5 linked regions of the Neurospora crassa OR74A genome follow. The protein of the gene in region 5 purifies or fractionates together with the protein of the main gene of each other region. This does not show direct contact. Links are inferred from orthologs where the notes say so. Each region holds a gene or a part of one and is shown on either strand. Other genes may lie near its edges. The genes, in order: NCU03778, NCU01614, NCU00505, NCU03625 and NCU05645.

Region 1 (5,668 bases), on a different chromosome or scaffold from region 5:
CGGCCATACGATCGAGGACGTCAGAAACGGCTTCCCGAACACCTTGCTTGCCACGCCTGGTCTCGACGAAGTGGTCGATGAGCTTTTCCCGGGTGAAGTTGCCCTTCTCTATCGCCTCCTTGACGTCGTAATCGTTGGGCAGGCCAAACTTGTTGTAGGGATACTGCATGTAGGATCTGTCGTTGAGCAGCTCCAACACAGGGACCTCTGGGTCGTTCCTAAAGTAGTCCTCGGAGATGTTGGCTCCAGGGGGGATCTCGTCTAGCGAAGCCGGCTTCCACTTGGCAGGTCCGTTCGCCCCCTTGTCAATGAGCAATGCGGTGACGCCCTCATTGAAGTCGTGAGACTTCATGAACTTGGCGGCCATCTGGTGTTCGCGCTTGAACGTATGAGCGATGCCCCAAGACTTGCCGAGGCGCATCTGGCGCAACGTAACATGGAGAGAAGTAGGGGAGCGCTGGGTAAGCTCCTCCAGGGTGTTCTTGGCCCAGCTCTGAACGCCTCCCTTGGCGCCTTCAGCGGCTTCCTCCTTAAGGGCGGCAATAATCTCGTCGATCTTGTCGTACTTGAAGCAACGGTCGATAGCAAGGCGAATCTTACCGCCAATTTCGATATTCTCGTCGTAGGGGACACCGGTGGAGAACTCTTCGATGGTGTCGTTGATGACGCTAAGGCGCTGTTCTATGGTCCAGTAGTCCCGGGGGGTAAGCTCGGCAAGACGGGATTCCAGGGCAGGCAGACTGCTCGAGTGAAGGTAGTGGGTGGCAATGCCGGCGTAGTAGACCTGGACACCCTTCAGCAGGGCGCTGGTGAGACCGAGGTAGGGGCCGACCTGGCCAGGCATCCTGGGGAGGAAGAAAGAGGCGCCGACGTCGGGGAAGAAGCCAATCTTGGTCTCGGGCATGGCGAAGACAGTGCGCTCGGTCGCAATTCTGAAGGGGGCGTGGATGCTGAGACCAACACCACCTCCCATGGTAATGCCGTCGAGGAAAGCCACGTAAGGCCTGGTGTAGGTGGAAATCAGGTGGTTGAGCTTGTATTCGAGGCCGAAATAGTCGACGGATTTCTTGACGCCCTCGGGGCCCTCGGCGTTCTGCTTGGCCAGCGCGGCAACATCACCACCGGCGCAGAAGGCCTTCTCTCCGGAGCCCTTGATGACGATGACGTTGGCCATATCGGAGCGTTCCCATTCGAGGAGACGGGGCGCGATCTTGCGGATCATGGAGCCATTGAGGGCGTTGTACTTGGCTGGGCGGTTGAGCTCGACGGAGCGGAGATTATATAGACTGTTGAAGAGGACATCCTCGGGCTCGTCACCCTCGACGGGCTTGAACAACTCGGCGGCGGCTTGGGTCGAGATCTGGGAGGAGGGGGCGGCGAGCGTGTTAGCTGTGTCCGTGTCCATGGCTTTTGTCTTCCCAAGGAGCGTCTTACTGGGGCCTGCTGGCCCAGGACTTTGGCTCTGAGCGGCATCGCGGTGAAGCTTGGTCGGCAGCTGCGAGAAGCAACAGCAGAAGCCAAGCCGGCGCGGCTGGCAATGGACTTGGAGACCAACATCGATGTACACTTCGGTAATTGGCTGGCTGGCTGGCTTTGTCTAGAATAGGAATGGAATAACAAGACCCAGGGTCAATATGGAAGAAAAATACTAAGTCCAAAATCCACCCCGAGGCTGTTTAGCACCGTTGTTGCATCATAGACCGGCCAAGGGACTCGGGCACTTTTTTTCGGGACTCGTTTTCCTGGGCTGGGAAAGGGAAAACGGGAGAACAATCACCAATGATCTGAATGCCGCGTGGATGCAGGAACCGTGATAAGTGATAGCGAGAGTATCTGCAAATCCACTTTTTGCTGGAATTCAACGCGAAATGGAGCTCCAGCTTCAATTGATTTTCAAGGGCACCGCGCCTGGCAATCCCCGGGGCGGGGTTAGGTACGGGGGAGCTAATACATAGTGTAGAGGTAGCTGTGGAACCTGCCGAATCCCCGCCGCTATCGCTAGAAGCTGGAATATCCTCCGGCCGATGATACCTCTATCCATTCAAACTTGTCATTTTCCAGAAGCGACGCTCGGGCCCTCCGCTCACTGGAAACCCGATGTCCCGGCTGTCCGGGGGAGCATGTCGGGTTCGGCGGGGCTGGCAGCACCTGTCACCGGAGCGGTCCTCAGCCTTTCGCATTGGGATCCACCGTGAGCTTGTCATCCAATCGCCAAACTTTGAAGACGGTTCTGTTCCCAGAAAAGCTTGGCGCGTGTGCTGTAGCTGCTCCACGCTCCGAGTCGCCGCCGCGCCTGGCCCTCCGCTGCTGCAACATTTCCCGTCGTGGATTGAAGATAGCGATAGCATCCATTACAGCAACTATTGTCCAGGCTTCTACCGTACACCACCAACCCATACCACGCGAAGCAACCACTCGACGTCAACAACCATTTTTGATACAAAGACAAAACTACAACTCATTTGCCCCTCCTACATTTCAGTACCACTCCAATTCAACTCTAGACCAAAACACCATCGTCATGGCTTCAGCGGATGCAAAGATTCAGTCAGTAGCTATCCCACTCTCCAGCATCAACCCATGTGCGCGGGCAGCCCATGGACGCTTCAAGGAAACCAACTTGACTAACAACTGTCTACTATACAGGGAGCTTCTCACGAAGCCGCGCAATGAGCTTACGTACGTTATATCCTCTTGTCAACATCACCTCCCTCTGTTACCATCGTCATCTCGCCCGCCCTGCTGCTCCCAGCTCCTCCTCTTTGCGACCCAAGACCACGACGCCCGCCCAGCCAAATCACAAAGCTAACCAACTCGTCTGATACAGTGAATACGAAGTTTCTCTCCTCGAAGAGCACGAGTTCTCCGCCGGTCCTCTGGTACATATGCCCCATAAGCCTTGATCTACCACCCCTTCGACACGGAGCAGCGACTAATATGACACCCTTTTTGGCAGTCCATCCTCCAGACCGCCGTCCGCAGCCACTCCCAAGTCCTCATTTCCGTCCGCAATGGGCGCAAGATCCTTGCGCGCGTCAAGGCTTTCGATCGCCACATGAACATGGTGCTGGAGAACGTCAAGGAGATGTGGACCGAGACGCCCCGACTGGCCAATGGCAAGAAGGGCAAGCCCGTAAACAAGGACAGGTTTATCAGCAAGATGTTTGTGCACTTCCTTTTCATCTGTTGTTTCTCTCGCCCAGGAGAAGCGAAGATCAATGGCTGACATGTTTCACTTTCCTGGCAGGTTCCTGAGAGGCGACTCCGTCATCCTTGTCCTCCTCAGCTAGTTCACGAATAGCACGGCAAAATGTATAGGTTGGAGGTTTATTTCACTTGCACGGCGAAGACACGCGCCAGCACAACTTAGGGTTAATGGCTCGAATGGAGTGGGGATGAGCCCGGGAAGGGTACCTATTGTTGGTCGACTGAATCGAGAGACATGCGGACTATATCACCTTACTACTACTCAACCGCTCGATCGACCATGATGACGACACAACCACGAAAGCAATTCAAAACGCCCCGTGAAAAGGCGCCGCGCAGGAACGAGAGGAAAGAAGAGAAACCCAAGCAGATTTTCAGGGGCTATTAGGAAGGTCATACAAAGGGAAAACTAGTGTGAGCTCGGCGTTCAAACGTGTATTTGGTTTTGTTTAACTTTTTATCTTTCATTTCTGGTAACTTGATCGAACAGAATACCCAGACCGTGTTTAGGTTTTCGCAGACGCGGTCATGTTTTCTCGTGCTTTTTAACGACAAGCAACGGGATGATTTGTATTGGTGTTCCTGGTACGTCATTGAAATGGTGGTGCAAACTAACTACCTAGGGGTATATCGAGATCACATACAGCACCAATTCTTACGGCAATTCCGCCTCTCTTGTAACCTCCTCCCATCCATCATCCGATCCCTTGGCCTGCTTAGCACTGGAATCATCAGCCTTTTCAATTCCAGCCAGTCCAAGGAAGAACTTGGCCAATCCCCAAGCGCCCGGATCCGGCACCTGCTCGAATCCGGACCCGCCAATGTAGACGGTGCGGCCCAACTTGGCCTTCATACCCTTGGTGCCCTCAGCTCCCTGCTTGGCAGCCTCGGCCGCCTTCTTCACATCACCGGTCTTTTCGAGCGCATCGACAAAGGGATAGAGGGCATCAACCAGGGTGCGGTCACCGGGACGAGCGGGCGTGTACTTGGACAGGGCCTCACAGCTCAGTTTGAGGGCTGCGGCCCAGGCATTTTCATCAGCAGCTTTCTTGTCCGACTCCCCTCCACCGACAGTGTGGAGAGAGGCGACCAGAGCGTTGAGGAAGATGCCGTAGAGAGCACCCGAGGTACCGTCCATGGTTTGCTCGACCACGGTGACGATCTTGGCGAGGTCAATGGCTGCATCGCCTGTTAGGGGGTTGGAGTCGAGATGCGACAAGATTGCTGGCATTCTGTTAGCTATCAGGGGGAAAAGGGGTTGTTGTTGCTAGGGGGACATACCCTCAGCGCCGCGCTTCAGACCGATACCGCAATCACCATCACCCACCATGGTGTCGTACTTGGTCACATCCGGTTCGGCGGCGATGACAGCCTTCAGCCCGGCAACCAGCTGCTTCTGCACCTCCTGGGGCTCATACGTTAGACCACAAGGCCTCACCTCCTCCTCGGACTTGACCTCATTCTCCCGGGTACTCTTGTTTTCCCGCTGCTCCTCCCAAGTCAGCTTGGAGATGGGTGCTGTCCAACCCGTTGCCTCAGATGGGTAATCCAGCAAGTCAATCATGCCCGGTCCGCCAATGTCCGTGTTAACCACATTCAACAGCGAGATACTAAATCCCAACCCATTCAAGCTCGTCATATACGTGCCGCTCAGGATCCTCACGGGCTTGATCCCATACGGTTGTTCCGCCAACTGCGTCACCACCTCGGTGACAATCCCGCCCATCTCCAACGGGCTGACACCACCGAGGTTGTTCACCAACAGCACCACCTCATTCGAATTTACGTTCACAAACGCCCTGTCCTCATCGTTCCGATCCAGCAACTGCTTCAGCATCTTCCCCACCAACTCCGGCAACCCAATCCCCTTCTCCCTACTGCTCCCTTGCTCATTATGAATCCCCATGCCAATCTCCACCTCGCCCTCCTTCAACACCTTGAACTCGGCGCCCTCCGCCTCCGCCCTTCTCCCCGGAACATGCACATGCTCCAGACTGGCGCCGACACTGACGATATTCTCCGCCGCCAAATTGGCCACCTTTGTCACCTCCTTCAGACTCCGTCCCTGCGCAGCCAACGCTCCCGCAATCTTTTGGACCAACACCGTCCCCGCAATGCCTCTTCTGCCTACTTTCCCAGCTTTAGCCCGTCCAACACCGACATCATCCCCGACAACCACCATCTCCACGTTCACCCCCGCGGCTTTGGCTTTTTCTACGGCTAGGCCAAAGTTGAGCACGTCACCGGTGTAGTTCATGACTACCACCAGGACCCCGCCCGCGTCCTCTCCTCTCTGTTGTTGTTGTCCATGTTCAGGAGAGGAGGAGGGCTCGTTGTTTTCAACCCGCCCCATGATCGCTGTACGGACTTGTTCGGCGGAGGGGGAAGCGAAGATGGTACCTGCTACACAGGCAGAGAGGAGACCGCGACCGACCATGCTGGAGAAGGAAGGTTCGTGGCC
Region 2 (5,913 bases), on a different chromosome or scaffold from region 5:
GACCGATGCTGCCAAGGGCACCGAGATCGATCTCTTCAGCACCTGGGACAGTTGGCACACCATCCGGACCGTCTGCAAGTACAGCGGTCGTCTGTTTGTTGCCCTGCGCATTCCCAAGCGGGTACCTGAAAAGGACCTGCAGGAGCGCTGGTTCTCCGAGCCGCTGCACTACCTGACCCTCGATAAGAAGATCTTCTCGCTGAACAAGGCCGGTCATCCTTCCCTTACCCGCCATCATCAGGACTTGATCAACCGTTATATGCGCCTCAAGAACCACCCGTGGCTAATCCTGATTAATGTCGGTCCGTCGACGGAAAGTCTCGTCGAGGCCCCCAGCAAGATGGAGGTTGACTTCCCTCCTTTGTCCGAGGCTAGCAAGGCAGTCAAGGAGAACCGCAAGCCGTATGCTCCTCCCTACAACGAGTACGTCGATTACATGAAGTACCTCGAGAGACACCAGCCCCCTTATTCGGCCATGGAAACTCCTTCGCTCGTCAGCTTCCAGGACTGGCTCCAGTCCCCTCTCCAGCCGCTCTCGGACAATCTCGAGTCGGCCACATACGAGGTCTTTGAGGGCGATCCGGTCAAGTACGATCAGTACGAAAAGGCCGTGGCCGAGGCCATGCTCGAATGGAAGAAGTACAACCGGCCCGTCTCCTCCGTGACGCCCGAGACGCCCGACGGCAAGGACCTGATCGTGGCCGTCGCCGGCGCCGGCCGCGGCCCCTTGGTTGCCCGCGTTCTCCGGGCCGCCGCATCCACCAACACTCCTATCCAGCTCTGGGCTCTGGAGAAGAACCAGAACGCCTACGTCTACCTCCTGCGCCGCAACAAGCGCGAGTGGAACAACTCGGTAACGGTGATCAAGACCGACATGCGCGAGTGGGAAGGTCCTCGCCTCGCAGCCAACCCGAACATCATCACCAAGCTCGACATTCTCGTGACTGAGCTCCTCGGTTCCTTCGGCGACAACGAGCTTTCCCCGGAATGCCTCGACGGCATTCAGCGGCACATTGCCCGCCCGCACGGCATCTCCATCCCCTACTCGTATACCGCCCATCTCTCCCCCATCGCGCACCCGCGCATCTTCGCCGACCTGTCCAACCGCGTCGTCAGCGACCCCAACGCCTTCGACATCCCCTGGGTGACACGTCTGTTCCAGCTCGCCTACGTTGCCCAAAAAGTGCCCAAGCACGGCCGGTTCCAGCAGGCCTGGGAGTTCGTGCACCCCGTCGAGGTGTCGCGGGCCGACGACTTTTCTGCCCAAAACGGGCGCGCGCGCAAGTATGTTACTCACGGCAGCGGCAGCATGTACGGCTCCAGCGGCATCAACGAGCATAATGCTCGGCACTGCCATTTGACGTTTGTCTGTCCCACGAGAGGTGTGATCCATGGTCTGGCGGGCTACTTCGAGAGCGTGCTGTACAAGCATCAGGAGGAGGGCAAGACGCCAGTAGAAATTAGTATCTTGCCAGATCAGATTGATCGGAAGAGCAAGGACATGATTTCCTGGTTCCCGATTTTCTTCCCTCTTAGGGTGAGTTTTTATCTCTTCTTCCTTCATTTCTTGTTTTTCTTGACTTTTCGCTCCTCGCTCCTGCTTTGGTGACGATTACTGACCCTGTTTCTTCGACGATACATAGCAACCCCTCTACTTCCCTCAGGACACCGAGCTAGAAGTCAGCATGTGGCGCCAGACCGACGACACCAGGGTGTGGTACGAGTGGATGGTTGAAGTGTATGCTTGGGTGGGTCCCAAGACCCGTATCAAGGTTGGCGCTTCTGAGATGCATAGCAGTCGTAAGGTTGCCTGCATTTTTGGTTAGAAGAGAGGAAATGTAAAAACGGAGGTAACTAGGTACCAGTAGGTGGTGGGCAAGGCTGGCTAGGTCGGGTGTTAGGAGTGTGTAAGTATGCAGCTGTAACAAACGCTGCGAGGAAAAGGTCAAAAGTCTTGTTTTAGCGAAAGAATAAAAGATTCGAAGTCAAATGGTGGATAGAATGTTCATAATTGGGAAGGCGCGCGATGTGTATGATGATGGTGACTGTCTTTGCCTGTAGTCGTGTGATGTATAGGCAAGTGGAAGTTGAGACTAACAGAAATTCACGCCGCTCGTTCTCTTTTTCTTTCAGTTGAAATAATACCTGGAAACCAGACGCCATGTCCGCATGTCTAACTCAACCCGCCACTTCCTTTTCTTTGCTCAGTACCTAGATGATGTGTGGTCTTGACAGATTTTTGTTTCTTTCTTTCCTGTTAAGCTGAGTATTGTTCCAACATCTTATTTTAGCCTTTATCTTCAAGGAAAGGCCAGATGGCACATGCTCCTTTGACGGTCTTGCGCAGGAGATGCAACGAAGGTCTCTACCAGACAGAGAGACGCTCGGTACCCATCCATCCATCCATCCACCGTTCACTCTCTCTTGAAGCAAATCCGCCCTTCCGTACCACTCTCCACACCATGCGCGCCCGATATCATCAAAGCTGTTGTCGCACCTTTCGTGAAGCGCACACTTTCATCATTGGGAAACGAGTTTTCGGCGAGCGGGTGCGTTGTGGTTTGTGCTTCGGTTCGGCTCGGTTTGGTTTGGTCGGTAGAGTAGATCCATCTCTTCTTCTTCTTCTTTTTTCCTCCCAGGGTATTATAGTCGGAACATCACGACCCTCCCTCCTCACACATTCCTCCTGTCTGTTCTGCAAATCGCGCCCTTCACCACCCTGCCCGCTAGTCTAGGCTACCCTTTCATTTCCTCCTCCTGGTGGCGAGAGAACTTTCACTCTTCCATCTTGACGTCGCCACTTGTTTCCGCCTCGTCGGCCTTCTTGATGTAGAGAACGTTGTTACACCTATTGTTGAAGTCCATAATGTCAGCATCCCGGCTAGTTGATACGAGATGGGGGATTGGGTCGTCCGTATGGAAAGCCGTAGCAGTGGGATGTATTCAGTATGGACGTACCTGATCAGAACCTGCCCCAAGGCGCCCGTAAACTTGCGGTTGATGTACTCCTTTGTGTCGCTGAGCTGAATGTTCATGTAGCTATCGATGCTCTGTTGTTCACATGCACACACGCATTTCGTCAGCCTCTCTCTCTTTGTTCTTCCTTCGTTGCTCCTTGGTCCTGCCTGCTGGTTTCCCCCTCCCCTCCCCTCCCCATCGCTTCCCACAGCTGTGTATGCCAAGACCAAAGTCCAGCGGCAAAGGGAAGGCTAGATTGGAAGAAAGATGCTGGATATGTATATATATACGTACAACAAGACGGCCAACATACTCCGTCTCTCCCCACTTCAAGCGGATCGTCACAAAGCTGTTGACGAGATCTTGAAGGAAGGGACGGGGGTTAACTGGGACAAAAGACATGTTGTCGGTTTCGGTTCGAAGGGTTGGTTCTTGGTCAAGTGCGTGGCGCCTTGTGTGTGTATTCACAGGCTTGCTGTTGTTGTTGTTGTTGTTGTCGTCGATGGGACGGCTCGAAAGTTGGATTCGCGATTCGGCTTGGTGCTAATGGAATTTTGTATTTGTCGGTTTTCTTAGATGTGTAAGAGTGGGTTGTGGTCGGGTGGACGCAACAAGGTCGAGGTTATGGTTATGAAAAGTTGGGAAGAGAGATGGGATTGGCGTTGATGCTATGATGGAAGAAGCTCCAACTGGGACTGTGCCTCCAATGCTGGACCTTTGCGGCGTTGGAGTAGCGCGACGATGGAAGTTCCTCTGTTACGAGGGACATGTGGAGCCCTAACGCGATAGCTGATTGGACGTGGCAATAAGCCTGTCTGATTAGTAGATTACAGGGTTAGGGTTGGTGGCTAGAGGATACTTGATGTTGTTGACAGCGACGATGATGAGCATCACCAAGACCTTTATGGCGATCCTTTTGCTTATCATTACTCAGGTACATAGCTTAGTGTATTCTTTCACTTCTTCACTCAAGTTTACCTGGTGACATCTCTCCCTGATTATTTCCGATGCCCACTTACACCTTCAGGTCAAGACCCTCGAAGACGCCGATGTTTTGAAACGAAATGGAAGGGGACTGTTCAGGACCTGACAGGAAGTCATTTTGAATTAATAAAGTCCCATACTGGGTGAAGATATTTTACTCAATCTCCTCAATCCTAGGTCTACCGCCGAACATCTCAACACCGCCACTACTTCCACCACTATCATCACCACCATGGGAAACCGACCTCTCCGGGTCGACAACCAACCCAGCCAGCTTCGTTAACCCACCACCACCGAACCCTCCTCCTCTTGCCTGGCTCAACGACACTTCATCCACCAAGCTATTCGTCTTCCAATTCTCCAAGCTCTCCAGCACATCCCGACAATACTCCCTGACCAACCCATCCTCGTCCGTCTGCTCCACATACCCCAAAATCGTCCTCAGCTGCTCCTGCGTCTCACTCCCAAACGCAATCCCCAACACCCTCCCCTCGTGCTTCGCCTCGTCCATGGCCTTGATAAAGCTCATAATCAGCCTCACCGCCGCCCTCCTGAGTATCCCCTTCTCCAGCTGCCGCTCTACCTGCACAACATTAATGCACAGATCCACGCTCGCCATCGTCAACACCGCCGCGACACCAACAATATTCGTCTCGATGCAATTCGCCAGAATTGACAACGCAGAGGCACGGATCCTTACATCCTCTTCACCCGTTTTGGAAGTACCAGACGACCACCCTTCTACAATCGCCTCCAAGATATCAAGCCTAGCCTGCTCCTCAGCAGAAATCGGATCCGCCATATCCGGCACGCTGCCGTCCCACGCGTCTTCGGCTTCTTTATGCTTCTGTTCCCGCGCCTTAGCCTCGCGCGCTTGGCGCGCCATGGTCTTGGGCCGATGCCCCCGGCGCGATGCCAGGCTGATCAGGGCTTCGCATGTCATCTTGGCTAGGTCGCCGGTGAAGGTCTGGCCCAGTCGGTCGACGACTTGGAGTAGGGCCTCGCCGAAGCGGAGGCGGGCGTCGACGGTCGCCAGGGCGGATTCGCGCGGGTCCAGGTAGCGGTCGATCAGGTCGGTGAGGACGGCGCGCGGGTGGGCGTTGGCTAGTTGGGTGTAGAGCTTGATGCAGCGGAGGTGGATGTAATCTTCTTCCGAAGAGTTTGGCTCGCAGAGAAGGGTGGCGAGCAGGACGAGGATGCCGGGGATGTCGAGAATGGGGGATTGGGAGGTGATGAGGTTCGAGATGAGGTTCAGACCTTCGGAGCGGACGGGCGGGGGGGAATCGGGTTGGGTGATGTAGGAGATGGCGAGGGAGTAGGTCTTGCGGTCTTCAATTTGGCGGTCTGTGGGACCACCGGTTGTTGTGGTGGTCGAGGATGAGTCGGCGGCTTCCAGGGCATCGATTTCGTCGCGGTAGCGCAGGAGGAGGGTGAGGTTGGAAGCTGTTTTGGCGTTGTCGTTGTCGCCTGTTTTGGAGAGGGCTTCAAGGGAGGATTCAATGACACGAAGGACATCAGGGTCGACACGCTTCTTTTGGAAGCCGGGGACGGTGATGACCATGTTGAGGAGACTGAGGGCTACTCTGATCACTTCGTCCTCTCCGGCCTCATCCGCGGTATCTTTGTTGGCTTCCGAGAGCACCTGGCTGACTAGCTCGAGGATGTGTTTGGGTTGCCCGGCGAGTTTCTCGGGGAACTTTTCCATCATGGCCAGGAGAAGCTTGACCTCGGTGAACTGGGCTATCGGGTCTTTATCCTCCTCTTCATCTTTGATAATCTGAATCCCGCTCTTTTTCTGGCCTCGGGCTGACTTGAGCCACCGCCCGAAGAGATCGAGGAATGCTGAGGAGACATCGGCCTCGGAAAAAGTTGAACCAATCAATTCCAGCAGTTTGGGTATCTTTTGATCGATTTCTGGAAGTGAAAGGCCGATGTATTGCTCCCCTGGCTTTTGCAGAGGACGGTTGGTAT
Region 3 (5,412 bases), on a different chromosome or scaffold from region 5:
GTCCCGTGTAAGTCGTGCAGAGAAAATAAGTTGTGGGAGTATGATTGGAGGAGGAGGGTTTGGATGAAGAAGGATAATGTTGTAAGTGAGAGCGGGAAACTTGAGGAGCTTGAGAGGTAGCGAAGGTAGGCGGGCTTGGGATGTGTTGTTTGTTGGGCATCTGGGTTAATAGTAAGGAGGTAGCTACTTCGAATGGCGCTGTTTTCATGCGTCGATGCTAGGTAGCGGGTATCACCTACCTGTAGACGCTGTCTGAAGTGAGGATGCTGCTCGCCTAGATGGTGCTTTGTGAAGAGAGAGAGTGACTAACTCGGTCATCCTTCTATCTTTTGCTCTCACGCATACAACCCTTATCACGTGCCAAGGCTGAGTGTTTATCCGAAACGAAAATGAACATAAAATTTCGAGCCTTGTCATTTCTTGTTCAAACAACCCAAATCGGACAAAACTGGAAGCGATCCTCAACGTCGCTGTCGCCAAGTACTCAACAGTTCATTGGTCCACCTCTTGTCCCTTGAGATTTAATTCGTCGGCCTCGAACAGGGTACCACTCACCTCTTATACCGAATTAAACACAGATAGTGCAACGGCAACAACCACCCAAAAACCAATCACCCAACCGCCATCATGCTCCCAACCCCCGACACCTCCCATGTGCCTTACCAGCGCGTCTACGAACCAGCCGAGGACTCCTTCCTCCTGCTCGACACGCTCTCGTCCTCCTCCGAAACCGCCTTTCTCTCATCCCGCTTTGCCTCCCCTAGTCCCTTCTCCCCTTCCCCAGCGCCTCTGATTCTAGAAGTCGGCCCCGGCTCCGGCGTAGTGATCGCCTTCCTAACCGCGCACGCCTCCACCATCTTTGGCAGCCCGCATGTCCTGTCAACCGCCATCGACGTGTCCCCCTTCGCCTGTGCCGCCACCAACCTTACCGTCTCCAAGGCCGTTTCCGAAAATACTTCCACCTCCGGTTTTTGGACATCAGCAACCCAAGGTGACCTCGTCTCCCCCTTTCGTCCCGGATCGGTAGATGTCCTAGTCTTCAACCCGCCCTACGTCCCTACGCCTGACTTGCCTGCGCCGCCACCGACAGGGTTGCAGGCACTGAAGGAGAAAACGACGTTTGAGGAAGACTCACATCTCTTGGAGTTGACGTATGCTGGAGGGAGGGATGGGATGGAGACGACGGATAGACTGATTGAGGCCTTGCCGGGGGTGTTGAGCGAGAGGGGGGTGGCGTATATTCTGCTTTGTGCGCAGAATAAGCCGGAGGAGGTCAAAGGGAGGATCAGGGTGATGGGTGGTGAAGGGAAGTGGAAGGCAGAGACGGTGGGGACTAGTGGGAGGCAGGCGGGTTGGGAGAAGTTGCAGATTGTGAGGGTTTGGAGGTGAATGGAGGGATGAGATGCTGGTGATGAGTTGAGGATGGGGAGGAAGCTGTTGAAGAGGGTGGAAGAGGGGGAAGGACGATGGTCAGTCACGTACAAGGCTCGAAAATTCTGGGGGAAATTTGGTATAGAGAGTTGCTGATTGTGCCGCCTTCTCCAGTAGGCATATATCGCCGTCTATCTGTTTTGTGATACATAAAATAGTTCATTCCGGTGGCGGTTGGGCGCGCCTTTCTCTCTCTCCCTTCCCGCTAGCAAAGTGATTTTATCCTGTCCAGAACGCCGCAACGAAATCCCAATGCTTGCCCTCTGCTCCGATCCGATGAGGGGGAGTGGTGTTTATGTGTGTAACACTCGATGCGAATGAGGTGAATCTCGAGTGTCGCTCAAGTGAAGATCTGGGATATGCTCCTCGATTTTCTGAAGCGCACTCATCGTCGATTTTGTCGTGTCGTCGCCACCGGACGTTATTTCGGGCCGGCCTTGATCTTCCCTACCAAGACGGTCAAGCCGGTCGACCGAAGGGGGCATAAAAAACCGAAAAAAATCCACCATTAACCGTAGTATAGCATCGTATCGTCTTTGAAAAAAAATCTAATTCGCACGTTTCTGTCGTCCAGGGAGACGTACGCCGTGGCCGATCCCAAAGAAACGAGATCCGCTTAGCCACGGCCACGACCGCGGCCGCGACCCATTCCCCTTCCTCTGCCACGGCCACCACGGCCACCTCTGCCGCCGGCGCTGCGGTCCGCTTCCTTTCTCGCCTTGTTCTTGGGCTTCACGGAATCATCAACTAGCAATGTATCGAGCGGCAAAGAATCGGGGAGTATGAAGTAACGGATGGTCGAGCCCCTGTAGGGTTTCAATAGTTAGTGATGCCCTCGAAAACTGAAAAGGGCCACTCCCCCTTAGTTGAAAGGGTTGATTTACCTAATGTTCATGGCATCTAGAGCCACAGCGTCCTGGCCCTTGGGGGTCATCTTGACGTTGCGAAGCGCAGTGTCCATGCGGGGTGTGACCGAGGCGATAGTGCCGTGTACAATTGTGCCGTTCTTCAACTCAATCGTCACCGTCTCGTTGGCGCATTTCATCAAAAATCTGCAGTGTTGAAGTAACGGATTCCACTTCGTCAGCCTGGTGCCCTTGGTGTTCTTTTTCTAGTAGAGCAGCATGGACGCGCGCGAACACGGGCTGGCAGCCTTGAAGGCGAGGACTCAAAGCTCAGCATGCGTCGTGCAAGAGAATAGGAATGAAGTCGGGTGGGATGGGGTATCGGGTACATGTAGCGAAGTATCAGAAAGCAAGGAGAAATCTTACCTGACCAGCTTCATCTTGACTTATTTGGACAACGCGTAATCGAATATGTGTTGTATGGAATTGGTGGTGACAAGGTCTCGATTACCAGCTTGTTACTTTGTCAATCAACAGTCGCGACGGGAGAAGGCTTGTCGAGCTTCCTTGGACGCTTGCACAACCATCCAAGCGTCAGGGTGGAGCAGATAGCCTGCCGTCGCTACGCGCCAAGATAGAGCCCGTGCTCAATCACGTGAGCCGAGCTGAACAGGCAAACGGCGGCTTGAAAGCCCCTAACCCTGGAAGTCATGGGTTTCAAGCTATCCATAAATTGCCTGCCCTGCACATGATCTGTTCATGTGCTGAGTTGAAGCAACCAGATAATTGGGGTACACGAAGATGGGCTGGCTAACTGCCACGCCGAACAACAAGGTGTTGTTTACTATGACTTTGTCTCTGAAGCTATAGCTGTAGTTGCACAGATCATGATGCCTCATGGCAGGATAAGGACTATGAAACGAACATAGGGCTTACAGCCTTCAACTGCCTCTCCTTTCATCCAATGAAGAACGAAAACAGGGTGGATGTGTAAATGCCATCGTCGCTCAACTCCAACACGAAAGCGGACCATGACACTATTTACAGGATGCCATGGTAACTTCGCTAACACGACATTCGCTTGTACGTTCTGCGTGTGGTCGGTCCCCGCTCAATCGCCAGGATATTCACTTGTCCTTTTCGTTCTCGTTCTCCGAAACCTTCTCCCACTCATCTTCCGTGCTGACGCCGCTCTTAGTGCCCAGGCTCGGTGTCTCCTCAACCACTCTGTGCTTCAGTTCTCCAATCTGCTGGATAGGCTCAACCTCATGGCTGACCGCCTCTGCAATTGACTCCTGCCTCGTGAGGCTAGCTGTCGATGTAGCTGCCTCTACTTCTGTTTCGCTGTCTTCCGATGTGACTGGAGTTGGCGCTGCTTCTTTGGCTCTTCTCGCCTTTTCCTCTTCTTGGATTTGGTGCACCTTCAGTTCCGCCGCGAACCAGTTGATGGATCCCCAGAGTCCACCGCAGAGAGCCGAGAGAATTACGAAGTGGATACTCCATGTCGCAAAGAGGAGGCACGCCAGGACAATTTGCAGAGCGGCAAATGTGACATTTGTCGCGATAAGGAGGGTGGGAGTCGGCCCCGGAGTGAAGATCGACTCCCAGAGATTTGTAACGAAGGATGTCATTGGGAAGATTAGGCTGGCGCTATGTCGGCGTTGAAAAGTTTGACCGTGAAGGTATGTCGTGTAGAGGAAAATTCTTGTTGTCGATTCGTGTTCAGGACGATGCGCCGTGGAAGCGATGCGGACAAACGAAGAGACAAACTCGCAGTAAAGTCAATGGTTCGTAGTGGATGACTACAGTCGAAGAGAGGGTTAGTCACGGCCTCACAACCTTTATAAATGACGAGGGACAGAAGGCAGGGGACGGATGAGGATGTGCAGCCCAACCAGACAAAGCCCGTAGGGCCGAAGAGCTGGTCACCCGCCGAGAGGACAGGGCCATGGATACCAGATCACAAGACACGGTTGCTCTTCAACTACTGACCTATTCTAGTTGTATAATTTGGCCTTTGCTGGCTCCAAAGCGTGCCGTTCGTTGCAGGCTGCCACCGGTGGGACGACGCACGAAATTGTCGGCAGAGGGTGATCTTGTTTAGATCAGATGAAAGTATGTGCGATACGGTCAATCGATGCCACAGGATTGGGCGTGCGTAAACGGCGTGCGTAAAGTGAGATAGACAGCTGGGTGTGCAGCACTCGAGTAAATGACAGTTGAGTAAAACTCTGCCTTGGACAGAAGAAGACGACCGGGAAAGCAAAGGTCTTGTGGTGGATGTTGAAGATCGGTCTGGCAATGTCGTGAGTCTGCCCGGTGATTCTTGAATTCCAGTTTATGGCAGAGGTTCGTGACGTGATGACTGGACGGCGGGGAAGATCGATGGATAATGGTGGGGTAATCTAGGTACATATGTAACCGCCTTTTCAGGCTGAAGGAGTGGGTCTAGACCGGGAATTGAGTTCAGCTTTCAGCTCCACTTACTTACAGAAAAAGCTGGGTCTAACTGTACGTAACCCGCGAAGCTATCGCGGACTTCAACCGTTCCAAGCATTCAATGGCTGGCAACATGATACGTCAACTGTACAAACAACGTCCTTTATACCTTAATATGACCTTGAGTGTCACAAGTTGCCGAGACTAGATCTCCTGGCTACGAAGCTCACGAGGTTGCAGCAAAGACTACCGAATTGGTCAAAGATCCTAAGCGACCAACATCTGAACGCAGTGTTGTACTCTTAAAGATGGAATGAGGGGGATGCGTCCCCGTGATCCGACTGGCACAATATACTATTTTCACCCAATCACAATATCCCGTCCTGGACGGTGACGAGGGCGCTTATGTCGTCGATGCGCTAAGATAAGGAAGCGTATAAGTCACTAACAGCATTCGGCTGACTGTCAGCGAGGAAATCGTTAGGGCCAGCTCCATACCAATATCACTTACAAACAACACCATCTTCATCCGCATCTTGGTCACGCATCCTATCTTGTGCCATCTGCGCATTCATGGACTAGACAAGCACGGCGTTGGAACAGCGTGAACCCCAGTAGTTCGGTTAACTTACTGTGACACACCATCACCGCTCTGGAATCGCGCAGATAGGTTGCACGATCACACTAGCGATGCATC
Region 4 (6,080 bases), on a different chromosome or scaffold from region 5:
TGAGCGCCGCCTCCATCCTGTCACTGCCCATCAGCCCAGAAAGCCAAGACACCATCACGGCCGTCGCCAACTTCAAGAGGATCAGCGCCGAAGACAAGGCCGCATGCCCGTCCCTGGTCATCACTAGCGTCGAGGCTGGTGCACAGGGCCTCGACCTCTTCCGTGAGAGCGCTAGCAACGCCATGAAGTACGAAGCCCTCTGGACCGAGGCCGGCGTGGGACACATCAACAAGTGGCTGCGATCCAACGTGCTGTCGCAAGCTGAGCAGGAAGGGGCCACCAAGGCGCCCGTGCGCAAGCTGATTGAGTCCATTCTGCACAACGCCGGCGCGGCGCTCCAGGCGGCCGAGTACCGCGACATGAAGGTCTCGGTAGAAGGGGGCCCGTCGCCGCACACGATTGCGCGCCTGAACCAGGCGCTGGCGGACTGGGCCAAGGATGCGCACGAGGAGCTGCAGCAGCAGTTAGAGATTGCGTTCGTCGGCGAAGCGTGGAGGCAGATGAACTGGTGGAAGCTGTTTTGGCGGGTGGATGACGTGGGCATGCTGTCGTCTGAGATGATTGCCCAACGATTCTTGCCCGAGGCTGAGAAGCGCTTGATCTTTTTGGCCGGCAGGCTCCAGGAGGCTGGAATTACTACTGCGGGCGGAGAAAAGCCGGTGACGTACTCCGGCCCGGCGGTTCCACCGTCGTTCCCCGAGGGCGAGAGCAGTGTTGCTACTACTGCTGCTACTACGGAATCAGAGACCAAGGGAAATTGGCCTGCGCATATCCCCTTCACAAGAAACTATCTACTAGCGGAAACTGTTCCGGCCCTGCAAGCACTGGCGCAGAAGCTCGTGCTACAGTCATCAACATTAGCGGGAGCCACCACGGCACTCGGCGGCATGTCCTGGCTCTCTGGATTCGGAATATATGAGTGTGGAGCCGTCGCCGCCTTGGGTATTGTTTTGAGTTTGAGGGGCTTGCAGAAAAGGTGGGAGAGGGCGAGAGATTTCTGGGAGGGCGAGGTTCGTGAGGAAGGACGCAAGGCTATTCGCGCAACCGAAGCCAGCATTGCCGAGGTGCTGGATAGCGTTTCTCCTGAAGTTCCCGAGGATGTGGCGGTTGAGATTGAGGAGCTGAAGGAGGCCAAGAGTGTCCTCAAGCGGGCCGAGGAAGCGCTTGCGAGGCTGAAGTAGAAATGATGGGTTGCAACAGATGTTTAGAAGGACATTCTGCAAACCGAACTTGGTCAGTTTCGGACTTCTTGTGCTTATTATTTTCCACAGCCCTCTCGCCCTGCCTGTTAGTCCCTTAGGTGGGTGTTTTGACAATATGCCCTCTCCAACTCAACCCTTAAACAGCCAGTTGTATATTTAGTCTACACGATTCACTCTCACTCAGAGCATTGTTGCAAGCTCGTCTTATGCGAGCCTCACATATAGGGACAGGCGGGTTAGAACCGGCGGACGCAACAGATCAACCAGGGCTACACTCTTATGTACCATTAAAAAAGCAAGCCGAAGTGGGAGTAAAAAGGGGGCATCGGACTTTTGTGGTAGATATCAAAAACTGTCAGCGTAGGCTGAAGATGGAATGGGTTGTGTGTACAACAACATAATAGACAAAGACGTTGAATACGTACCCTGTCTATATCAGAACCAGGGCTAGTAGGAGTTTCGCTTTCGGTGCGATTCGATCCATGCTGTATGTGCTCGCTCCTTGGCCAAGGACTCAACTGGGGGGAGACCTGAGGCTGGCTGAACACCTGGTTCGCTCTGGCTGCTAACCGTGATGAAGCCAGGTTTTCGTTGCGTGCTGACGGACGGGTAGCGGCTGTTGCATCGACCGACCATTATCGTCCAGCTGGCGGAGCGTGAAAACCCCTGGATACGCCACGCTTCTCCCATGATCATCATTTGGCAGCAGATGGATGAGCGGGGCCAGCTGGCGTCCTCCATATCACTCCTCATCGAGGCTCTCAACCCTCCAATCCCAGCCCCAGCACTCACTCCAGTCCCTTCTCATCTCTGGCCGGCCTTGAGCCACCCTCCTCCCTATCCCTCCTGTTCCTCCTTCTCTGGGCATCCAAAGCTTGCCCCCCACACTTTTCTCTTTCCATCCAACTCGCTGCCCCCCATTTTCGGTAGAAAGAAGATCAAAGTTTGCTTTATTGGTTCCCCCCACCCAAAACGCCTAAAATATCAAAATAGCGGTTGTCGTTGCGCGCGGAAAAAAAAAAGGAGCCATAATATGCCGATTATTGTGCCCCAATATTGCATTCCGTTGTGAAATTTTCAATGATTCTCGGTCTGGGTCTGGTCTTGGTCGATGAGTCTGACGACAGGCGGCGCTCGCTGTCTTCTATCTGGCGCCGCCACGACCACCGGCGCGCGCCCTACTGACTGTCGCACGACCGCGGGCGAGACCGACACCGCGGCCGCGGACGTTGCGGGAGCGGAACATGGGGGCGTTTCTGTATGGGAACACAAAAAAAAGAGGAGGAGGAAATGATTAGCTTGGGTCCTATCCGACTTATTGGGTAGGTAGGGGGCAACTGGGGAGAAGAATCGCAACGGATGAGTTGGTGGTGGCCTGGTTTGAACGTACCTCAACATATCCGGCACAATAAAGAATCGCACATGACTGCCGCGGATGTAGACTTGTTCGAGATGGCTGACGCGCCCGTCGCGGGCTGTGACGGTGATGTCCTTGAGTTGGACGTTCATGTTGTCCTCGGCTGTTTTGCGGGGGAGCGCATTGGTTAGCATGGCTGGCCAGTTTAGAGGAGTGAATGGGAATGAAGAGTTCATGGGGGTTAGCAGTACCTTCGATAAGCTTGCCACGGTAGGTCTGGCCGGAGGTGATCTCGAGAGTGACGATATGGCCCTGTGGGACAGGAGTGGTTGGTTAGCTTTTGGCAGCACTACAGTCTGTGCATAGCAATGGTGTTTACTTACCTGAGCCTCATTGAGGAGCTTGATGGGGATACCAATTGTGGAAGTCATGTTGGCGGCTGTGTTATTACGTGGTGAGGTTGGTTGGCGATGTGGAGGGGCGAACTGATCTTTCTTGGTGTTGGTTTTAGAGATTACCTAGATGGTATGCCGTAAGTACAGGCGACTTGGTTCGCGATGATAGTGGATGCGATCAGTTGCCTTTGACGTGAACGCGGCAGCCCTGTCAGCCCGGTGCTGCTGGGAATTTCGTCGGAGAGCTTAGTTGATCTTGTCAGCTGCAAGACAGCTGCCAGATCTCACGGTACGTACCGCGCATTGAGGTCCTACACTACAAGGAAGTGTGGAGGCTTCCCCACACGCCTCTTCTGCGCTGTCCCCACATTCAGTGAACTGGTGGTCTTCGGTCATCCAAAACCTCGTCATCGTCACTGACATAAACCTTCTTTCTTCAACCCATTGGCAGTAAGTGGAATTTACCGGCCTGCTGTCATACGCTTGTACTCAATCAAAGTATGAACTGTCTGGTTCAGCACCCCGAACGCCGTTATCGCTCAACTTTCCTGGCTCATGTTCCGAGTCGTCGCATGATGGCGGCCGTCACGGGGATGGGATTGTCCAACGCATTGAACACAGCATCCCCAACCTTTTTCTCAATGAGGCCTTCTTCGATGTTCTATACGCTGAATTATGTGAGGTCCTTCGGTTCTCAATTCACCCTTGTCCCCGAATATTGGACAGTCACTCCCCTCCCGCTTTGCCCCATACCACCAGCCAACCGTTGACGAGCAACTCCCACATTCTCGACGGCCTCGTCTAGCCATTGCCTATCAGCCAAGGACGGGACGTGATACAGGACAGAAAACGCCCCTCGACGTTCTCCAGACTTCCTCGCGCCCCGAGAGATGCCGTACCCGGGTCCTTCTGCATCATGCTACTACATACATGCCTCCATCCTCGCTCCCTGTCGGCCACGACCACGGCTTGCACGGCTACGTAGTCCAGCGAGTAAGGGGCCATCTGGCCTTGTCCCATTTTCAAAACGCAGTGACGGGCTGGCCAAGTGGGCCGCCGGCCAATTGCTGTGTTGTCAGCTTGATGCCCAAACCCTATGATCAAACCCCACGAACCGCCCCGGCACCGCTGAATGGGCGAGGCAACTAACCGTCTCAACCTCGAGCTGCGGCAGGTGGGTTTGGCGTGGACTGATCTTCCATAGCACTGGCTGTTATAGGCTGCATGCATGTGCATCGAGAGACCATGATCTGTGTGCGTCTGCTCCTCCGTCTTGGTTGCTCCGAGTTCTCGGTCTTTTCTCTCCACCTTCTTTGTTATCTCGCTGTGTGAGCTGGATCGTGTGGTGATGGTGCGGTACTAGCAAGCTTTGACAAGCTCGACGGCAGCTCCGGTTGCATCCCACCTCCCACCATCATGTCCTCGTCTTTGCCCTGATTGGACGTCTCACCACTCTCCAGGAGGTGTCTGCCAACTTCTAGCGCTGGACGCTACATGACATCTCAGTTCCGAGTGGAAGATCTCTGGTCTGGTCACTCCATCAGTTCCGGTAATTGAGGAGTTGACTTGGCCGTCGTGCAGACTTTTACCCCTGGTGATGTGGGCTTCCCGTCTCCTACTTATGCCCGTCCGTCTCCCAGCGTGGGATCGGTTCGTTTTGTCACAAGATCCTTTTTTAGTGAATCGAGAATTCCATTCGCTGTTTGCTTCACCTCAAGAAAAAGAACGCAGACTGCCTGGACTACGTGGTCCTGTCAAACCGAGATCACACTTGAAGGTCGTATTGGCCCTGGATTTCCTACACGAGGGCGTCGTACCTGCTTTAGTCAACCGGAGGCCCACTCCTTCCGTGTTTCTCTCTTGGTCAGGTCTCAAGGTATTGTCTTGCCTTCGCCATAATGCCAGGAAGACATCGGGCCTATACTACCGAGCACCCGGCGAAGGGCTTCAAGTGGTTCCCATGGAAGCGGGAAAAGAAAGTGGTGGTCGAGCCTGTGCAGGTGTGGTCAGATTGGGTGTCAAGTGAAGATGGAACCTACTTCTATCGAGCCAGGAAATTGGCTGACGGTACGCCCTTGAAAATCCTTCCTTGTTGTACCCCAGCTGATTTTTCCTGCAGGTACTTGGGGAGATTATGAATACACAGAGGGTTACTACATGGGAGGTTATGCGGGGGAATATGCCGGAGGGTATGCCGGAGGATATGCGGATGGGTATATGGGAGGTATAGAGATACCCCAGGAGAAGGAATACCACCCGGCAGTTGCGGTCAGCCCTTGGAAACTCCCCGAAGAGCCCGTTGCGATCATGCCAGAGAGCTCCGAGGTCATGGAGGATCCAGAACGCAGTTTCGCGGAGATCGCAGAGTCAGAGCCCATTGGAGAGTTTTCGGTCGCAGATGAGGAGGAACAACATCAAGGCACTACCACCAACGCCACCTCAGTCTCGGGTGATGATGCTTTTGACAACCCGTCAGAAGACGACGGCTACCGTGAAAGCGAGCCCTTGCCGACCGTGCAAGAAGCGGAACCCATGGTGTTCACTCACGAACCAGAACCCTTTCGAGCCTTGTCCCCAGCGCCAACATTGCGACGAGAGTACAAACCGAGGCGAAGACATACAACCGGGGCCGACACCAGGGTCCCAGCTTCGTACCACCGTCCGCGAGTTCCACATCGGCATACATTCAACGAAGGCCAAAATGAAGGCCACAAAGACAGTCACAGCCAGGATCATCACCACCACAAACGCACCAAAAGTCACGACTCGAACCACAAACAGCCGCTCCTATTCTCCATCTTCTATGCAGTAACCAAAACCCATGCCGGCCCCCAAATCCGCCGCATGCCCTCCGCTTCACCCCATCGATCCTCCACACGCGGGAAATCAACAACACGCACCTCCACCCGCCCCTCAACCGCCACATCCTCCTCCTCTTCCCGCGCCCCCTCAGCTTCAGTAAGCAAGCATCAAGACAACACCAGTACCAGAGTTGCCGTCCCTAAAACATCTACCCAAAAACCAACGACAAAGAAACCACCAGTCACTGCCAGGCCAACAAAGCCCAAGAAACCACCAGTACCCACAGCAAGCGAAACCACCGTCGTCGTGCCTCTCGACACGGGC
Region 5 (5,556 bases):
GAAGTCCACCCCCGCGCCTCAAGCACCCAAAGGACTTGCCAACTCGCGTCACGCACCCAAAGGTCCTGAGAAGCAACCACGCAACAACAATCGTCACCCCAAAGCCAACAACAACGTCAACAACAACGCCGGCAACAACAGCGCGACTCAGTCTCAACAACAGCAGTCCACCTCCAGCACACCTCCCTCCGCCCCTAAAGAATTTCGCGAGAAAGAAGCCAGGGATAAGGAAGCTGGCCGTAACACTGCAAGTGTCTCATCGGCCGCTAGAATTGGTTCCGGGGCGAATCCACGCACCAAACTTACTGAAGACGAACTGGCAGCCAAGATGGAGAAGATGCGTATTATGGCCGCTGAGAAAACTAAGCGGTTCGAACAAGCCCAGCGTGACGAAAATGAGCATGCTGCCGCCTACGCTAAGGGCATGGAAGAGGATAGGAAACGTCGTGCCGAGCAAGCGGCTAAGAGGAAGGCTGCCGAGGAAGACCGCAAGAAGATGGATGAGGAGCGGGAAAAGAACCGTGAGCGCAAGATGCGCGCCATGGGCGCTAAGGAGGGTGGCTCTTGGGACGAGGGCAAGGAGGAGCGCATGAGAGAGGAGGACCGAAGAGGCTACAGGGGTGTTAGGGGGGTTGCAAACACACCATCGTGGGCGCAAGATCCGGCTGACGGCAATGAGCAGGCAAACGGTTACCGTGGCGGACGTCGTGGTGGAAGAGGAGGATTCGGTGGCGGAAGAGGTCGTGGGGGAGGTGATGGGTATGGAGGTCGTACCCTTTTCGAGCCGGACCCGGAGAACGAGACTGGTCAGCGTTTCTATCAGCGTGACAATAACCGAAACCGCGGCAGGGACTGGAAGGCGGATGGCCCAGCGGCCCCTCGTGCTGAACGCTCCGGGCCTGGGCCTGGTGCACCAAAAGCCGACAAACCGAAGTTGACCCCCGACGAGTTTCCTGCACTCCCCGGCAGCAAAGCCACCGCACCGCAAGTCAGCACAAGCGCCCCCCTATCTTTTGCTTCCTTGCCCCTCTCGCCTGCTGTGGGCAGATGGGATGATGAGGTGGAAGAAAGTATCTCGAAAAAAGCGGCACAGGCAAAGGAGGCGGCGAACGCGCAGGCGAAGTCAAAAGGAAACTAGAACCCTTCCTATGCGAGGCCTACCTTGGCTTCAACCGTTCGTTCCAATTCTCAGGACCCTCCTCGTATCAAGCCACCGTTAATGTCAACGACGCGCCCAAAAGGTCACCATGAATCTGATTCGCGAGACACAGTCAATAAAGAGCCGGCAGCGGAGCATGAGTCGACGAAACTGGCGAGGGTGAAGGGTTTCCTCTCAGTTCCAACCCAAGTAGTGGCTGGCCACCTAGGTCTTGAACCACCAAAGGTTGATGCCACTCTAACTTCAGATCAGATAGTCACTGCCCGCCAAACCCTTAAAACGCCGGTGGCCACTCCAGCGTTAGACAAGTTACCAGCCGGTCTCCAACATCTCGAACCGTCCAAGGCGGTCGGGGTACAAAGACGCCTCGAGCAATATCAAAGGGACCTCGAGGAAATGCAACAGAAAATCGCAGAGAGGGCAATAGAAACACCCGGGAGCCACAAAGCATCCCAGGTTTTGCCACTTACAGCAAGTAACAGAGCATTGCTGGATGTTCAATATATGAAAAGCGAGCACGTTGAAGATGAACAATCCTATCGCCATTATAACAACCCGGAAAACATTATAAAATGGGTAACAGAATCCGATATCACCCAAATGCGTCGGTGGAAGGGTCCCAACATGCATTCCGATGAGAATAATACGACACCAGAGGAGTAACTTGCCGTTGGTGACGACTCGGTGTATTTTTCCTCGGGAGGGCGACTTGTAGAGGGGTCCTGGAAACCACAGGCATTTTTTTTGGGCCGTAGAGGATGGAAGCGAGGTGTTTCTTTCATGTGATACGAAAAATGTCTAGACAACAGCGATTTTGTAAAAGCGAACAGACGAATTGATACCACAAGAATCTGAATTGAGATTGCTAGCCGGAACCGCAATTGATCATGCACAATGTAAAGGGTAACCCGAGTTATATCGCATTGATTGAAGTGTAATTGCTGGTAACGTCGATTCTATACCTGTCTGTGTGTTGCGCTCTCATGATATAACTAATAGCTTCTTTTCTCTACGCGGGCTGCAAAAATAAAGACCATAAAGGGACAAGCTCCGACTTCTTCAAATCCCAGGCTCGAATAGTGTAAAACGCCCCAACGCCCTTTCAATGCACATGATTCCGCCAGATCTTGGATCGTATCCATCTCCTTTCCCCGTTTCTTCCCTTAACATCGACGCCTCAAGCACCCTACCACCCACCACGTCTAGGACCACGCCCACGATAACCGCCACCGCCACTCCTGGGTCCACGGCCTCTACCCCAATCATCATGTCGTCCACCAGGACCCGTTGGCACACCACCCATATCATCATCACCACCACCGCCCATTCCCATGGGCCTCTGCCGTCCACGCATCTCCTTCGGGAATGCATCATACGTCTTCCGCATCTGCGCATATCCCAAATGCATCTTGCCAAAGAAGTGATCCGCCAGTCTGCGGTCATTATCCAACCGGGACAGGTACGCCCCGCACACGTCGCACACCTGCAGCTTCTGATGGCCTGACGGGCCACTCGTATCCGACAGCGCCTTCAGCTCTCTCTCCTTCTCCTGCTTCGCCGCTTGCGCCTGGCGCACCCTGAACAGCTCGTCATACGCCCTCCCCACTTCGCCCAGCTCTCCCAAGATCTCCACCTCCAACAGACCCGTCGCAATGGTCGTGCCCAAGTCCGAGATGGCCTTGAGCAACACGTTTGTCTGCCGGATCTCGTCGGGCGTCTTTTCGAGGCGTCGCTGTGCCGCGTCGATCCGTCGGTTGCACTCGTCAATGTACTTTTGCAGGTCGCGCATGTAGTCGTAGTCGAAACCGTACTTCTTCTTTTCTTGTTCAGGCAGGGCTTCGTACTCGGCCTTGAGGGCTTCCGAGTGCACGCGCGAGCACGGGCCGAGGTCTTGCTTGGTGTTGGTGAAGAGGTCGTGCGGGCAGGTGCCGACGAGGTAGGAGCGGCAGACTTTGGGGTCGGTGAGGGAGAGTTGGGCGGAGCGGGAGGAGATGCCGCCGCCCATCAGCTGCTCTGCATGGTTGGGGTGAAGAAGTTAGTGGGAGTTTGTAGGGGGGTGGGAGGAAGTATGGGGATGCGACTTACCGAGCAGCTTTCTTTGTTCGGCCGCCATGATTGGTCTTGTTGTTTATAATTATTACTATGAAAATGTTTTGGGTTCGATAGGCGTCGCTAGGTTTTGGTTTGACGGAAATTGCGAGGGCTGGTGATGGTAAAGCGCTTTCGCGGTTGCTGACGTTTTGTTTTGTTTGGGAGAAATTCCCAAGATTTTGGAGGTCGAATGCAGTCGCAAAAGTCAGCCGCGCATGCAAGGCTGCTTGCTGGATGGAACCTGATCGCTGAAACCGGGGAAGTGGACCCACTTTACATACCCTCCATTCCCCTGTTGCCGCTATAATCCCGGTTCATCCACTGGAAATGTGCTGTCATCAACCACAATTCCCTTCTGGGTCTTGTCCCGCTATGCCAGGGCGCGGCAGGCACTCTTCCAGCACCTCCCATCAGCAATGGGGGGGGGTGCCCAAGTTGCGATCCCCTCCGACGGCAGCCAGGGCACCCAACGCAACACCAACAAAAGTTAAAAGTTAGGTGTGAACTGTCACCATCTTTGCCGTCGTGTCTTCCACTTCTACTTCTGTCTTGCCATTGTCTCCGGAAATTGCTTTTGGTACTTTGCGGTGGACGTACAGATCAAGCAAATGGATAGACAACGGCAATAGACAGCGTTCACTCCAGTTAATACAATGCGCCCATCCTTTCCTTCTTCTTTCTTACTCTCCTTACTTTCTCTTCTTTGCTTCTCGCCCTACACTGCGATCGCCAATGCCTCCTCCTCCCCTGCCGATTCCATTTCCAACTCCCGATCCGACTACCACGAACAGCTAATATTGCGCCCGCTACCATTGTCGACTCTGCTCGCCAGCTTCAACTTCCGCTCCAACACATCGCTCTCTGCCTTCGAGGCGCACAATTTCCGCTTCTTCCCCAGGTCGCTGGGCCAGATTCTCGAGCATGCCGGCACGCGCGAGTTACACTTGAGGTTTAGTCTGGGAAGATGGGATGCCGAGAGCTGGGGCGCAAGGCCGTGGAATGGTGCGCGCGAGGGTGGAACAGGTGTTGAGATGTGGGCGTGGCTGGAGGCAGATACAGACGAGGAGTATGTTTCACCACCACCCACACAACACCGCGGATCATGACTTGGGCGAGAGACTAACTACAGACACCATGTAGGGCCGACCGTAAATGGCTGACGCTCACCAATGCGCTGTCTGGCCTCTTCTGTGCTTCTCTCAACTTCATCGATAGCACCCGAACTACCCGTCCCGTCATGTCCTTCCAGCCCGAGGGCAACCACATCGACGCGAACGCGACGAACATGCACCTACTTTACGGCGTGCTACCCCACGAAGTTGTCTGTACCGAGAACTTGACACCCTTTCTTAAGCTTCTTCCATGCAAGGGCAAGGCTGGTATTGCGTCGTTGCTTGACGGACATAAGCTCTTCGACTCCTCATGGCAGACAATGGCGATCGATATCCGGCCCGTGTGCCCGGAGGATGGCGAGTGTGTGTTGCAGATCGAGCAAAGCATTGACATGGTATTGGACATTGATCGATCCAAGAGACCCAGGGGTATGTGTACTAATGATTGAACGACGTGGTTAAAGACTACAACTGACGAAACCGGCTTAGATAACCCGATTCCCAGGCCCCCTCCGGCCCACGAGATGAAGTGCAATACCTCGAAGCCGTACCACGCCCACGATACTTGCTTCCCCACCGATTCAGCCGCCAACCAGGACTGGTCGCTATCCCAAATCTTCGGCAAGCCTATCAAGGGAACCTGCCCTCTGACCGACCCTAACGTGTCTCCTGTCTGCATCCAAGTTCCCGATTCGCGTATTGTCTTCGCCTCCGAGGGCGCTGTTGAGAAGAAGAACCCCGATCAGACTTCACGCTGCTTTGACTTCCCCGCCGAGAACGACTTCGAGATCTTCCTCCCTGCCCCCGAGGCCGAGGACGGATCAGTAGTAATCGAACACGTCGTCAAGCCCGAAACGCCCCTCCTCTACGCCGAACGCAGTTTCACCGGCCACGGCCAAGAGCGCGGCGGCGTCCAGACCATTCTGCGCAACCCCAGCCCCGACCAGGAAGTCGAGTTCATCTACATGGAATCCCTTCCCTGGTTCATGCGCATCTACTTGCACACCATCTCGGCCCGCGTCGACGGACAGCCCGGCAAGGCCGATTCCCTGATCCAGGAAGTCTACTACCGCCCCGCCGTCGACCGCGCACGCGGAACCCAACTCGAAGTCCGCATGACCGTCCCGCCCGCTTCTACCGTTTTTCTCACCTACGACTTTGAGAAGTCCATCCTGCGGTATACCGAGTACCCTC

What was found.
Region 1: the proteins of NCU05645 (region 5) and NCU03778 purify together in Saccharomyces cerevisiae (affinity purification with mass spectrometry, with the first as the bait; 3 studies listed by BioGRID). This does not show direct contact. The link is inferred for Neurospora crassa OR74A from reciprocal best matches to the Saccharomyces cerevisiae genes LUC7 and SMD2.
Region 2: the proteins of NCU05645 (region 5) and NCU01614 purify together in Saccharomyces cerevisiae (affinity purification with mass spectrometry; 3 studies listed by BioGRID). This does not show direct contact. The link is inferred for Neurospora crassa OR74A from reciprocal best matches to the Saccharomyces cerevisiae genes LUC7 and SMX3.
Region 3: the proteins of NCU05645 (region 5) and NCU00505 purify together in Saccharomyces cerevisiae (affinity purification with mass spectrometry; 3 studies listed by BioGRID). This does not show direct contact. The link is inferred for Neurospora crassa OR74A from reciprocal best matches to the Saccharomyces cerevisiae genes LUC7 and SMD1.
Region 4: the proteins of NCU05645 (region 5) and NCU03625 purify together in Saccharomyces cerevisiae (affinity purification with mass spectrometry, with the first as the bait; 4 studies listed by BioGRID). This does not show direct contact. The link is inferred for Neurospora crassa OR74A from reciprocal best matches to the Saccharomyces cerevisiae genes LUC7 and SMD3.

The regions. Positions count from the first base shown.
Region 1 is NC_026505.1:2,381,624-2,387,291, forward strand, and holds NCU03778 (small nuclear ribonucleoprotein Sm D2), read left to right. Parts: upstream 1-2,309; 5' UTR 2,310-2,521; coding exon 2,522-2,547; intron 2,548-2,646; coding exon 2,647-2,679; intron 2,680-2,827; coding exon 2,828-2,879; intron 2,880-2,956; coding exon 2,957-3,162; intron 3,163-3,247; coding exon 3,248-3,290; 3' UTR 3,291-3,779; downstream 3,780-5,668. Other genes in the region: NCU03777 (mitochondrial 3-hydroxyisobutyryl-CoA hydrolase), read right to left, coding at 1-1,360, 1,435-1,557; dak-1 (dihydroxyacetone kinase 1), read right to left, coding at 3,863-4,431, 4,489-5,668. UniProt on the Saccharomyces cerevisiae protein: Plays a role in pre-mRNA splicing as a core component of the spliceosomal U1, U2, U4 and U5 small nuclear ribonucleoproteins (snRNPs), the building blocks of the spliceosome.
Region 2 is NC_026502.1:2,950,730-2,956,642, reverse strand, and holds NCU01614 (hypothetical protein), read right to left. Parts: upstream 3,672-5,913; 5' UTR 3,361-3,671; coding exon 3,253-3,360; intron 3,051-3,252; coding exon 2,959-3,050; intron 2,849-2,958; coding exon 2,776-2,848; 3' UTR 1,992-2,775; downstream 1-1,991. Other genes in the region: pp-2 (protein arginine N-methyltransferase HSL7), read left to right, coding at 1-1,537, 1,644-1,826; NCU01615 (hypothetical protein), read right to left, coding at 4,097-5,913. UniProt on the Saccharomyces cerevisiae protein: Plays a role in pre-mRNA splicing as a core component of the spliceosomal U1, U2, U4 and U5 small nuclear ribonucleoproteins (snRNPs), the building blocks of the spliceosome.
Region 3 is NC_026501.1:8,191,938-8,197,349, reverse strand, and holds NCU00505 (small nuclear ribonucleoprotein Sm D1), read right to left. Parts: upstream 2,844-5,412; 5' UTR 2,717-2,843; coding exon 2,703-2,716; intron 2,585-2,702; exon of another isoform or gene 2,484-2,584; coding exon 2,316-2,483; intron 2,238-2,315; coding exon 2,048-2,237; 3' UTR 1,498-2,047; downstream 1-1,497. Other genes in the region: NCU00504 (hypothetical protein), read left to right, coding at 628-1,389; pkr1 (ER membrane protein), read right to left, coding at 3,404-3,907. UniProt on the Saccharomyces cerevisiae protein: lays a role in pre-mRNA splicing as a core component of the spliceosomal U1, U2, U4 and U5 small nuclear ribonucleoproteins (snRNPs), the building blocks of the spliceosome. Also binds telomerase RNA and is required for its accumulation.
Region 4 is NC_026505.1:1,886,435-1,892,514, forward strand, and holds NCU03625 (small nuclear ribonucleoprotein Sm D3), read right to left. Parts: upstream 3,175-6,080; 5' UTR 2,991-3,174; coding exon 2,943-2,990; intron 2,872-2,942; coding exon 2,811-2,871; intron 2,723-2,810; coding exon 2,593-2,722; intron 2,459-2,592; coding exon 2,347-2,458; 3' UTR 1,216-2,346; downstream 1-1,215. Other genes in the region: NCU03624 (hypothetical protein), read left to right, coding at 1-1,181; NCU03626 (hypothetical protein), read left to right, coding at 4,853-5,021, 5,074-5,912, 5,988-6,080. UniProt on the Saccharomyces cerevisiae protein: Plays a role in pre-mRNA splicing as a core component of the spliceosomal U1, U2, U4 and U5 small nuclear ribonucleoproteins (snRNPs), the building blocks of the spliceosome. Also binds telomerase RNA and is required for its accumulation.
Region 5 is NC_026506.1:1,218,204-1,223,759, forward strand, and holds NCU05645 (U1 snRNP splicing complex subunit), read right to left. Parts: upstream 3,403-5,556; 5' UTR 3,273-3,402; coding exon 3,245-3,272; intron 3,173-3,244; coding exon 2,346-3,172; 3' UTR 2,072-2,345; downstream 1-2,071. Other genes in the region: NCU05646 (hypothetical protein), read left to right, coding at 1-1,138; gpit-1 (GPI transamidase component GPI16), read left to right, coding at 3,904-4,316, 4,391-4,791, 4,852-5,556. UniProt on the Saccharomyces cerevisiae protein: Component of the U1 snRNP particle, which recognizes and binds the 5'-splice site of pre-mRNA. Together with other non-snRNP factors, U1 snRNP forms the spliceosomal commitment complex, that targets pre-mRNA to the splicing pathway.